3 linked regions of the Arabidopsis thaliana genome follow. The protein of the gene in region 2 interacts with the protein of the main gene of each other region in a pairwise test. Each region holds a gene or a part of one and is shown on either strand. Other genes may lie near its edges. The genes, in order: PDLP6, AT4G12950 and PDLP3.

Region 1 (4,606 bases), on a different chromosome or scaffold from region 2:
ATAATATCGATTGCATAAAATGATAAGAAATACAAAATAATTAAAACATTTCAAACAAATTTTAATCTACTTGAGAACAAGTTTTATTTTTTTGGGCAAATCTAATATAGAACATAAGGCGAATAATTGATGATAGAGAATTGTGTCACGTAAGCCGATTGTTCCACCAATTAGGCAATTATGCTTGTATCCCCCCTTACTTTTGTATGAAACATAATGATATAAATTTGAACACTTTATAAAGTTCTACTTACTAAAGACGTATTCATATCTTTAGTATGATATATTAGTATCTAATTCAATCAAATATATACCTACCATTTGACATTATTTTACTTTAAATCATCGTGGATGCGAGAATTCGTTGTAACGAGTTAAGATTATATGAATTTAGAAAAGGGATTTCAAAACTTAGTTATACAACATGAATAGACTTCTTTGATTGATATATAGTAGAAATGATACACCGATGCGTTTTGCAAATGAAAAATCTAAGAGAGAAATTGAAGGTAGTAATAGTTTAGAAAGAACAAAATTCTATTTATATACTGGAAATAAGAAAATGTATAGCTAACTTTGGCTTTAAATTCATAGAACATATATATACATTGTTTTGTCACAAACAGTAACACAAAATCAACAATAATTCCTTTAAACTACAACGTTAAGTGATTATGATAATTAGAAATACATATCAAAGATAAATTGCATATGCGCCACTTTTAAATGTTCTTACGTAAAGATACGATCACAAATCTAAACGGCGTGAGTTTTCTATACATTTGAAAAATAGTAAAACTTCAATTAAAGTGGGTCAAAAAAGAAACATCCTTTAGGATTTTAGTGGAGAATATGAAGAATCTCTTCGCTTTTCTTTCTCCTTTACGCATTTGATTCTTTTTTAAAACCATAAATTGATGATACAAGTCAAAAGTCCCATAACGTTATTTACTTCCCACCTGATATATTAAAAACAAAAACATTAATAGATGATATAAACAACAACAACAACAAAAAAAGTCGGATCATAGTGCCTTATCTTTGGGCTCCATTAATTACATATTGATCCGTTAATCATAACAATATTTGATGATAATGTTCGATTAATTAGGGATGGGTCATTTCATTTACCTTTACCTCTCTCGCACGATTTTGCCATAAAAGAGAGAAATACGACGAGTAACGTAACTCCAGCAATTAAGCCAACTATGATTGCAAGTGTTTTCTCTATCTCATCGTCATCATTGTTATTACGATTCCCACCTAATTACATCCCAAAAATAACACATTTTTAACAATACAATTATCAAAAATATTATATGCATAAATTGTAAATTCTATGCAAAGAAGATGGAGAAAATAAACGAAAAAAATAAATCTTGAAAATAAAAATCTCACATAACCACATGACTAAGACAATACGTTCGTAACTATTCGATAATAAAATATATATAAATAGTAAATACTGTACAGTTAAGTTTTTACTGCAGTTATTGATTCAGTTACCACTGTTAACGGCTGTTAATTTGAATATCTAATTTTAACAAAATTTAATAAAACGAAAGTTTTAAAAAGATATAAAAATTAATTTAGATATTTTTTGAGAAAATTAAATAATAGAGGTATTAAACAGACAAACTAAAATTAGCCGGAGATTTTTTCGGGTTTTTCCCTTAATTAAAAACTTTAAAATCAAATAAAAATCTTTATAAAAGAAATAAAAAGCAACGGAGCAAAGAAGACATTACCATAGCCGTTGGCTCTAGAGTGACCTCCACGCGCAGAGTAACGCGCGTAGCACTTTGCTAAGTACACGTCACCCCAAGCAGCTCCTCCGCAATCCGTTCTCAGCCGTCCGATCGCTTCCATCAAACAGTCTTGACACTCAGTCGCACTAAGATCTCCGGTGCACTGCGCCACACCTTGCAGTTCCCCCGACACTCCTACTCTGTATGAACCACCGCTACTCGCCGCTAAAGAACCCACCACCGAGTCTCTACGAGTCATCTCGTCCGAGTTATAACCAACCGGTGGTCCACAACGTCGAACCACCACCGTCTTATCCTCAACACCGAGGAACGTCGTGTTGTCGTATTTAACGAAACAGCCTTCGAGCTGCAACGCGCCACCGCTTGCCATGGCGCAGAGACTCCCTAGACGGCTTACTGCTCGCGCGACGCATCTTGCACAATCTCCCGAGCCGGAGGAGAGATCACCGCGACACTGGTACAAACCGTAGACGGAGGAACTGTCGCCGGAGATTCCGTTGGTGGTGAAGTTGTTGTATGTGTAGAGAGAAGCTGAGCTAACGAACGAGGTGAGTAGAGAGTTAACGTTTGACTCGTAAGGCGATCCCGGAAAGTACTTTTCTTGTGAGCAACCACCGTAGATAAAAGTATCGACAGCGGCGGATGAAAACGTTCCGAGAAGTGACACGACGGCGATAAAGAGAACTGTTTTTGTAGCGAACATGACTTTCGACGATTGCTTCTTTTTGTTCTCTCTCTCTCTGTGGTATGATTCGAGAAAGAATGAGAACGTCGCGACTTTTTTTTATGCTTGGTGTTTAACTTTTTTTTTTTTTTAATGATTGGTGCGTTACTATATGATTATGAAACACTTTGATTATATTGTATTTTTATCATCTGTTTATCAGTTATATGGTTTGGTAATCGATATACTATATGTCAAAATTATTTATTTGGTAATCATATATATGAAAGTTGGCTAACTTTCTTCATATGAGTGACACATCATCACACTAATGAGTGTCACATGTTATCCTAAATTAATATTATTAGAAAAATAATAAAACTTGGTGATAAAATTTAAAAGTTTAACATTGCATTGAATCATTCATTAATCTTATTTTTAACAAAATATCTTCACTTAAAAGAAAAAAATATAAAAAATTATGTTAATATATCAAATACTATTTTCATTTTACTTTTCTTATTTTGCTATTTTTTTTAATAGTCAGTATTTGATAATGGTTAGAAACTTTTGGGTATTGCAACTTACCTGGTACTTAACCTTTTTTAATTTAGTAATTTTAACTTAATTTTTCTTATTATTACATTTTTTGGTCTACATGATATTATCATGGTCTTTTTGTACTTTATGATAAATTAGTAACATTAATAATAACATGCATGTTTTTTAAAGTAATGGTCTTTTGAGACGTTAGATATACCAAAAAATTTAATATACGACATTCTCTCCAATATAGCTAAATGCAAATGTAAAGAGAGAAACCTAAAAGTATTAACTTAAAAGACTGTTTAATTTTTGCTTTCTTTTTTTTCTTTCACGTGAAAACTTTTAATGCAAATGAGTAGTTAGTTATACATATGTTATTTATTTTATGTCAATCTAATACTTAGCCATGAGTTTATCATGATGTGATTGGGATATTAGATTAAGAGAGAATACATGAAACAATAAATTGTTTGCTTAGAATCAAATTAGACAACTTTCAAACTAAATAAGTAACATAATTGCATACCATTGTATCATATATTGTTGATGTAAGTAATTCATGATAGTTAAAAAAAGATTAGAATTTTGGGTATAGAGATAAAAAGATTTATACATAAAAAATATAATTGATATGTGAATCAAAAGTGAATCTAACTCTACAAATATAATTACATAAAATAAATATAACTTTATTAACTACATAATAACATATACGGAAAAAACATAAATTAGCAATCAAAATAGTTAAACATAATTATTTTTAAATAATTTTTAAAATAACAACCTATACGTAGTGTGAGTATTCACCTAGTGTAATTTTATTTTTGTTAAAAGTAGTTGGTATATGCGCACATCATGTCATCATCCTACACCGGGAAATTGGGAAATTCAGGACTGCCTAAATAATATCTTAGCTTTGGCCAAGAACCGTTACTATAATATATATAGTCGTAGAGAACCAAATGTAATGGCAAATACATTAGCAAGAGAGGCTCAACAAAAGCAGTATTATTCTACAAAATTTATGCAATCAACATATTTTAAAAATAATTTTATTCTACAATTTTTCATTTTACAAATTTTTATTTGGCAATTTATATTATTATGCTATTATGTAATGTTACCAATTGGAGTTATAGTCTCTTGGGTCTGTTAAATGTATTTCTGTACACACTTTCATTATCTAATGGATAAATTGGCCGACTAAAAAAAATATAATCATGCACTGATTAGTTTTGTTAAGTTAATTTTACACACATCTATGGACAACTCGAGGGCATTTTTGATTTAGGTGATCTTTGTTACATTGCAAGAACAATTTTTTCATAGATTGTAACTATTATCTTTTGATCCTTAAGATTATTTCAAACTATCTAAAGTTAATTTAAACTATGCCAGAAAAGAAAATTGTTAGTATTTTGTTACCAAAAATTTAAAAATTGCTAGAGGTCATTTTTATTTTTCATTATATTTGAATCAAATATCTATTATCAAAATTAGTAGAATCAATCTTATTAATTAGAAATAACTTTTTGCATAATAGATTAGAAATTTTCTAAGTTATAAAATTAATAATATATAAACTCTTTTTTAGTAAGATATTAGCTTAATTAATCTCTTTATTGGC
Region 2 (3,023 bases):
GATTAGTAGTGGTCTTCGATAAGATTTGTTGTATTTCAGCTGGTATTTTGTTTAGTGATTATAGAATGGTAAATGTTTTTTTTTGTAGAGATCTCTTCGTCTATTAATAATGACTCAAAATCTAGTTGACCATTCATGATTCATCTATTACTTTTTTTGAATATTACTTTTCATATATATATATATATATATATATGTTGATAACCTCTCATTGTCGTGGTAAATTTTGGAAAGATGTCTCAGTTATTTATATTGATAATGACTCAAATGATGAGAAGTATCTATCTCCGTGTGTTGTGTGTATAGAGAAGTCGGCATTTTAATGAGTAAAAAACAAGAGAGCATATATGTTCATCGTTAAACCTCTCAATGTATGCAGTCTACGTGTTTAAAAAACAAAAATAAAAAGTTGTACGTTACTAAAAATGACCAAGTCATGAGTACAAGAAAAAAAGGTTTAAGTGTTCATTTAAAAGACTTTCATATTATAGATTAGGGACTTCAGTCTTTTCATATATATATCATAAGGTGAAATGAGCACAATCTATTCATATCACTATGATTAAATGAACCACACAACCGTAACAAGCATAAAGGTGAAGAGCGGCCATTTCGATATAAGCTTAGAGCCGCCGCCGTAAGTTGTGTAATCAAGCGGATATGCAATACGATGGATGGCTATGAAGGAATCCACGTAGATGTCAAGTTCGATGATGAGAACGCCGTCGATAGAAAAAGAAGTAGCAGAATTGTTGGTTACCAGAATGGAGGAGCCGTTGAGAAGAGTCGGTAGTCTCGATCTACTTGGCTTCAAGAGAAGATCTGCAAACTCAAGCCTCTGAGGAACAATGTGGTATGAAGCCAACTTATGTCTATCATCGCTCCCGTTGGCGGAAGAGTTTGGGATGAAGAGGGTAGATGGGATAACCTCGGCGCGGATCCGGTCATTGGTTTCTATGAAAACCGATGACCATTCTTCAAAAGGGGCATGAGCCAATGCATCAATAACATCACGGGCCGTCTCCTCCACCGTGCCAGAGACAACGGCGAAAACTGAAACGGTGGAGAGAAGAAAAAATAGTAGGAGATTCATATCCAAGAGACCAAAAGTGAGAGAAAAGTCCAAGAATGGAAGAAAGGAGTTTTCTTTTGTTCTTGGGAGTTAGGAAATTGTGATATGGCTAGTTGTATCAAGTTAGTATTATATAATTAAAAGCAAAGAGAATTATGTGTAGGAACAAAAGGTGAGTGAAAGTGTGAAGAAAGACTGCACACAAATTTTGAGACCTCTTTAGAAGCTTGAACCGCACAAAAAAAAAGGATTGAGTTCAAATATTTCCTATATACCATAATAGCTTAATATTATGATTTTGATTTGATTAGATAGAGAACAATGTAGCTCAAATGATAATTGGTTATAGAATACATTTGGAACATTTTTAGTTTTTCTTAAGTATCATTGTATCAATGATATCATTAACAATAAAAAATAATCTTAACCAAGAGTAAATATAACATGATTGATATATAAAACACAATTATATATCATACTAGTCAAAGCATCCCATTTTCTTGAAAAAAGCAGGTACCGATGCCTTATGACAAAATTTGTTTCACTCAACTGCACAAAATATTTATTAAATAGAAATAATAATATTAAGAATCACCAAACGATTTAGCATTGGTTTAAAAGAACCTTTACCCTTAACCTTTTAATTAGAGATAAACTTAACTAGAAGAAACTTTACTTTAATAAAGTAGACTGTGACTGAAAAATATAATGAAAGCCAATTATGGGTTTTAAAAGAAATTGTTTTGCTTTAAAACACCTAAAACATATTACATAATTAACTATAACGATTTTAAAAACAAATATTAACCGAACTAAAAAACAAAGCAAAGTCTATACGTAATTATTTAGGATAATGATTGTTTATCCTGAGACTGCCTTGATTGGTGTATAGATTAACATGTAAAAGCTAAGTACGTAAACAGAGGATAGCGTGTACTAGAATGCTCTCCAAACCAAATAACATAATTAGGACATAATTAAACAGAACTAAGGTCTTAAACACCTTCTTGAATTGTTTCGGATACTCCTTTTGTTTTTGGATATTTCGGGTACACATTCGGTTACCTTTTCGTTCGTTTCGTTTAAAGATTCTATAATCCATTTTTTTCACGCTAGACCCGAACCGTCTAGTTTGACCCTGTGACCTGTACACACTTCCAGTTTGGGTTAACATCCAACAGTTTAAAAACTAGAAAAAAAAACACAAAAAATTCACCATTAACATGCTATCCACTGAATCAGTCGGGTTTGAGTTTTAACAAAATCCATTTGATTTTGATATTTTGGAATTAAATATTAGGAATGGTGAGAGAAACAACGGTGATTAGTTATATTGTTTTCGCAATGTTTTATTAGTTTTTTTGTTGATAATCTCATACTATCTAAGTATTTTTTTTATGGTTTTTGTTGGATTTAAAAATTTTAATCACTTTATTTTTATTGTGAAACTTCATATTTTGTTAAACATGGTATGATTATTTTTTATTTTTATATTTATAATACTATATAATTTCTAAAAGTATTAAAAATATTAAATAAATTTTAATCAATTGATCTATGGTCGAATCCGGTTGAACCCAATGACACAGTAACCTAAAAAGTTATCTGGTTCACCATTCGGGTTGGGTTTGAAAAAATTGGTTAAGATATTTTATAATTTTGGTTGGGATTCAGTTCGTTTTTTTATTTGTTCGGTTTAGTATTTTGGTTTCGGTTATCTCAGTATTTCTTTCTTGAATTATTCTGTTACGGCTAACACGACTTTCTAGTTAAAAGCTTATACTCTGTTTTTTTCAATAGGTTTTCTGCTCCTGTGCAGAACATATGAACTATACATCTTACAGCTGTACATAATCTCATTATTCTTTCATCAATAAATTTCACATTTCATCAAAACAAAAAAGAAATATGATTTTTTTCAGAATAGCTTCTCAGTATAAAAAAAACTTAA
Region 3 (5,295 bases), on a different chromosome or scaffold from region 2:
TTGATGTTTGATCCCAAAAGGTATCAATCAAGTTCCCTATTCCCAAAATCATAAAAAGCATCACACTTCTCCATGAAATCGCATGAGTGTTGTATAAAAAATTAACCATAGTTTCTTTCACTCGAGATACATAAACAACAACACATTGAGAAGTACATAACTCGACTTTCGTATTTCCAAATATATAAATTATGCACACGATTATTTTCTGAACAAATAAGATTTAAGTAATGCCGAAAAAAAACATTTAAATAATGCAAATTGCCCACAATAATACAAAACGCGGTGGAATCCTACTCATTTTACAAGAAACAAATAAAAATTGCCAGGTTATACCAATAAAGTTACTTATCAAACGAGATTTTGATAGAAAAAGTACCAAAAACAAGTTGGCAGAAAAAAACAACTCGACAGAAACTCAAAAAGCAACTCAACAGTCTAGAAAAAACAAAATATCATTTAAAACATACGAAAACAAAAATGTATAACGTTATCAGAACAGAATAATGTAAAATGCTACAGCATAGTATAAATTCATTTCTGTTTAAGAGTTACCCATTGTTAAACTATAGCATAACATCCAATAGAATGACTTCACGGAACTTGTAAAAGGTATGAAATTAAGACAAGTATAAGTACTTAAGGAACTTCAAATGAGATAATTCATTTACATTTTTAAAAATAAATTGAAAGTACTTTCTCCATCTTCTAACATTTTAAAATGGTCCCAGCTCTTCTTCATCCATCCCACCACAATTTCCACCTCTCAAAAATACTGTATTCAATAAACTAACAATTCGAAAAATATAAAAATCGGGACACAATTAATTGCATGCACCTCGGAATTCACATTAACGCTTGCCTCCATTTCGGGGTTGGGACTCATTTTGTTGTCTTCATCCTAATTATTTTCAATAATCTGCCAAAAAAAAAACATAAGTAATCAATTTTTTTTGCCTTTATTCTTCTTCTCAACATATGCATGTGTATGTCTATTATATGCAAGCTCTTCCACACTTAATTTTCAATATGCTCAAATTAGAAGGATAATTAATATCTCTAATAAAAAACACTGAGTAATCTATTATTTTGGCAATACAAAAATGACAACTCGTATGAATTACGTTACATATGCATGTATGCTTATAGACGTGATACGTGCATGAATGTTGTCTACGTGTATGTATATATAAGTGGAGAGGAAGTAATTACCGTCATATTTCTTCTTCATCAAGTTTTTGACGAAAAGTAAGCAAATGACAAGAAATCCAACACCAGCTGTTCCTCCTACTATTATTGCCACCGTTTTGCCTGTTGTTCCTGTTTTTTTCCATCAAAAACCATTTCATCATCCTAATAAAATATACCTAAAAATACATTTCCTAAACTTTACGCTCTCTTTTCTAAAGAATTAATTGTTACGAAACCGTAGCAAACTATAATGTTGAAAAGAAAAAAACAATATTTATTCATCAAAATGAAAAGAAACAAAAATCACAATTGGAGCCTGAAAACAAAAGAACAAGTTTCACACTGAAAACCTTTTGAATTAAAGTGAAGATAGTCAAATAAATTAATTATTAACTTCAACATCGAATCATTTTCTTTTTAATGAACACCTTTTCAAGATTTTCCAGCAAATATTAGAACGTTGGTATTGAAATTTTCCACCAAAATAATAAACAAATAAAAAGAAATAGAAATTTTCACCTGAAGAAGATGAAGAAGAAGAAGAACCCGAAGAGCCAGAGCTAGGATAAGGAGAAGATCTCTTGGGAACACCATTTGGGTAGAAACTATAACCGACAAAACACTTATGAAGATATATCTGACCAGATATTGAGCTTCCACATTCGACTTGAGCTCTCTGTAACGCGTTTTTTATGCAACCGCTACAATCTGAATCGCCTATATCGCCTTCGCATTGTCCTAAAACGTAAACCGATTCGTATGTCGTTGCGTAGAAGCCGTGACCTTGAACGACGCCGTTTTGCATCACCCCGAAAGCTGTGTCTCTTCTCTGTTCGAATCCTGTCCCGGCGACGTTGTTCTTCCCACATGTCTTGAATAACAACTCCATTCCTAAAGAAATTTTTAAACCGGAGTTAAAATTAGTCAATCTCGGTTCGGTTTATGGTTAAAACCGAAATTAGGTCGATAGTTAAAAGTTTCTCTGGTTTAGTCGAATCCTAACTTTGGTTAAACCTATATCTAAAACCAAAACCTGATTCTTAACCGGGTTCTTGAAGTTCACACAGAAACTCGAATTCCGGTTCAAGAAACAAAAAATTTCGAAGAAATTGAGATTAAACCAAATAATGGAGAGTAATACCTGAAATTTGGGCAAAGCCAGAGATTTCATAGAGAAGATAACAGCCGGAGAGCTGAACTCTAGCAGCAATGGTTTTGCCACAGAGCTTACCAGAGAGAACAGGAAGACGACTAACACAGTTGTAACAGTCGTTGTTACTTAAATCTCCTCTACACTGGAAAAGACCAGTGACGCTTGTTTGGCTTGTTGTTCCAGTTGTGGTTTTGTAGAATCTTGTTTTCGTTGATTGAGTAACCAATAAGCCATACATTGCAGAGAGAGCTTGTGAGTATAAACCAGATGGATCTGATAATCTCTGTCTTGCACAACCTTTGTAGATTAGGTTCGTGTACTCTGGTGAAGAAGATTTTGCTAGCTTGAGATCTGAGAACAGAGCCATGATGATGATGTAAAGTAACAAAAGCTGCTTCAGTGAATAAAACCCCATTTCTTTTGTATTGTGTGGAAGAAGAAACTAAAAAATCAGAACATAGTTTGTTGTAGAAGAAGAGTTGTTTTGTTATGTTATTGGAGGAAAGATTTTTGTGGGAATTTTGAGGATATGGGTAAATGAGAAAGATTAAAATCTTTTTTGTTGTTGTTGTTGTTGTGGGGCTTGTTTGGAATTTAACTTTTTTGGGAGTTTATGAAATTCTGTGTTTGGTGGATCAGTAAAAGCTCTTTATTTTGCTTCTTCTGAGTTTTCTGAATTTGGTGTTAATGGTGAAAGAGAGAGATTTTGTAAGAGGCTGTGGATGGATGGATGACCACTCTTTTCTCTTTCTTTAGGAGATGTGGAAAAAGAAATAGGATTAGGATAGAGAGAGTCTGTAGAGAAGGGAGCGTAATTTGTTTTCTTTATTTTTTAATATAACAATCAAACACTCTTTTCTTTCTTCAGCCACCACTGACCAGTCTAAAGACAGTACAGTGAGCTTGGTGTGTGTATTGCAGTCTTTGATTATTAGATTTCACTTAAACTGTTTATTCAACACCTAACTTTTTAAAATTAGAATAACTACTCTTTTGGTTTCAATTCCATTTGATGTTTAGAATTTAGTAATGAAACCCAATAATAGTTACTTTATGAAAACACGTTTTCGACAATAATTAAAATGGAAGACAATTAGTATTATATTTACTCTGATCATCTAAAACTGGACAATTTTTTTCCCAGTAGCTAGTAAGGTTATGTATTTTGTAGTTGTTACTAATTACTATATAAAAAGTTCATCGTGTAGGTATTTCTTTAAGCTTAGTTTATGTATTTTGTAGTTTTTATACGATGATTTGTTCAAGTTATTTTAGTATTTTCAGACAAAATTAAAAAAATAATATAGACAGGGAGAAACATAAGCATTCTTTAGAATTGTGAGGAAACACGTGGTTATACCTTAACACGAATTGTCAATCCTGGTCACAATAAAGAAAGGGTATTACAAAACATTATCTTTTGCGTGAAGTTAAACTAATCCTGGAATTGCAAAAGGAATCACGAATCTGATATTCGTGGATAAATGTAAATATTGTGCCCAGTGATTTTTGACCAAGTACAGTCAAGGGTATTCTTTAACATTTAGTTAAAATTTTGTTCTCAGAGACCAGCTGAAATCATTTGTTGGAATACGGAATACTAAGCAGACCACCACTGTCTAGAACAGATTAAATAATACCAAATGCGGTTTAGCACCATCGGTTTGGGATCTTCATTAGTGTCTGAATTCATTTGGCAACAGAAAGAACACATTTTTTGGTACATATATTGAAGGTACAAAGCGATTAAAAGAGCCTATAAGAAAACTCGAGGGTTTGTGAGTGTCATTGTTTGAATTCCAAGAGGTAGCGAGGATGATCACAATCACCACTCACTCATGACCCGCACCTATGAAATTCTCCCCCATTGCTGCAAATACTGTAAGATACAACAGAACTTGAGAAATTTGAGCGAGATAACACTGGAGATGGACATTTGGAATGTTCTGTCTGAGTTTTTTACGGATTGTTCACGAGTCTTGCGCAGAGTCATCATCGACGTTGGCTTTTTCATCACCAGGAAGACCAAATATCCGTAGGTTACGGTCCATCGAACCGACTGCAACGTACTGTGCATCTGAACCAAACTTCACACACGTAGCTTTACCTGCAAGTGTAAGGGCTTCGAAATTAGCAACATTATCGCTATGTGATCATTGAAGGAGTTAGGTAAGGGACTTTACCAGTGCCGGAGAGATCTGGGAGTGTCTTGATAAGGTTCCATTCAGCTTTCACACTTGCCGTCTGGTATACTCTGCAGCCAAAACACATAAATTGTGTTAACCCAACGTGCAGATTAATCAAGCTAGCTTGGTCTCTTTGGATATTTTCTTTAGCTGAGCTTTGGATGTTTTGATCACTATTTTCAAATGTGTACTCACTTGATATCTGATGCAGCAATACCGAGATAAGATCCGCTAGGATCAAACTCCACTGCACACAAAAAAAAAGTAGGTTTAATCAAAGCGAGCTTATAATACATAGAAAGTTCTCTATCAACAAAATGAGTAGAAACAGATACGATAGTTGTGTACCAGAGTTCGCATCTGCAGATAAAAATGATTTGAAGTTCCTTAACTTGCGCAGATCCCACAACCTAACACCATCCTCTGCAGCTGTCTGTCAATTCCAGGACAAAAAGAAAATCATTCATGTAAGCATAACTTAAGCTGTATTCTCTCTTCTCGTATTTTGTTCAAAGTACTCACCGCGAGGAAGTAACCATTTTCAGAGAAAGATATAGCTGTAACTTCCCCAGTGTGTCCATCAAACTTAGCCACATTTGCCTATTATCAACCAAAAAAATGAAAACTATAATGAAGAACACTGTACACAATTAATAATTTTAATAGGTCATATAGTTTGGAAGCCCATAGTTTTTACCTGACTTTTAACGTCCCAAATCTTAACAACAGATTGAGAAGTACCGGTTCCGAGAATGAGACCATCGG

Evidence for each region.
Region 1: the proteins of AT4G12950 (region 2) and PDLP6 interact in a protein complementation assay, tested with the Arabidopsis thaliana proteins (2 studies listed by BioGRID).
Region 3: the proteins of AT4G12950 (region 2) and PDLP3 interact in a protein complementation assay, tested with the Arabidopsis thaliana proteins (2 studies listed by BioGRID).

Annotation. Positions count from the first base shown.
Region 1 is NC_003071.7:290,025-294,630, forward strand, and holds PDLP6 (plasmodesmata-located protein 6), read right to left. Parts: upstream 2,665-4,606; 5' UTR 2,473-2,664; coding exon 1,749-2,472; coding exon of another isoform or gene 1,693-1,748; exon of another isoform or gene 1,264-1,692; coding exon 1,132-1,263; coding exon of another isoform or gene 1,124-1,131; exon of another isoform or gene 960-1,123; coding exon 949-959; 3' UTR 549-948; downstream 1-548. UniProt on the Arabidopsis thaliana protein: Modulates cell-to-cell trafficking.
Region 2 is NC_003075.7:7,574,712-7,577,734, reverse strand, and holds AT4G12950 (Fasciclin-like arabinogalactan family protein), read right to left. Parts: upstream 1,094-3,023; coding exon 563-1,093; downstream 1-562.
Region 3 is NC_003071.7:14,122,270-14,127,564, forward strand, and holds PDLP3 (plasmodesmata-located protein 3), read right to left. Parts: upstream 3,258-5,295; 5' UTR 2,760-3,257; coding exon 2,333-2,759; intron 2,083-2,332; coding exon 1,711-2,082; intron 1,321-1,710; coding exon 1,213-1,320; intron 920-1,212; coding exon 912-919; 3' UTR 537-911; downstream 1-536. Other genes in the region: MAC3B (MOS4-associated complex 3B), read right to left, coding at 4,315-4,451, 4,528-4,598, 4,726-4,777, 4,879-4,963, 5,053-5,130, 5,228-5,295. UniProt on the Arabidopsis thaliana protein: Modulates cell-to-cell trafficking.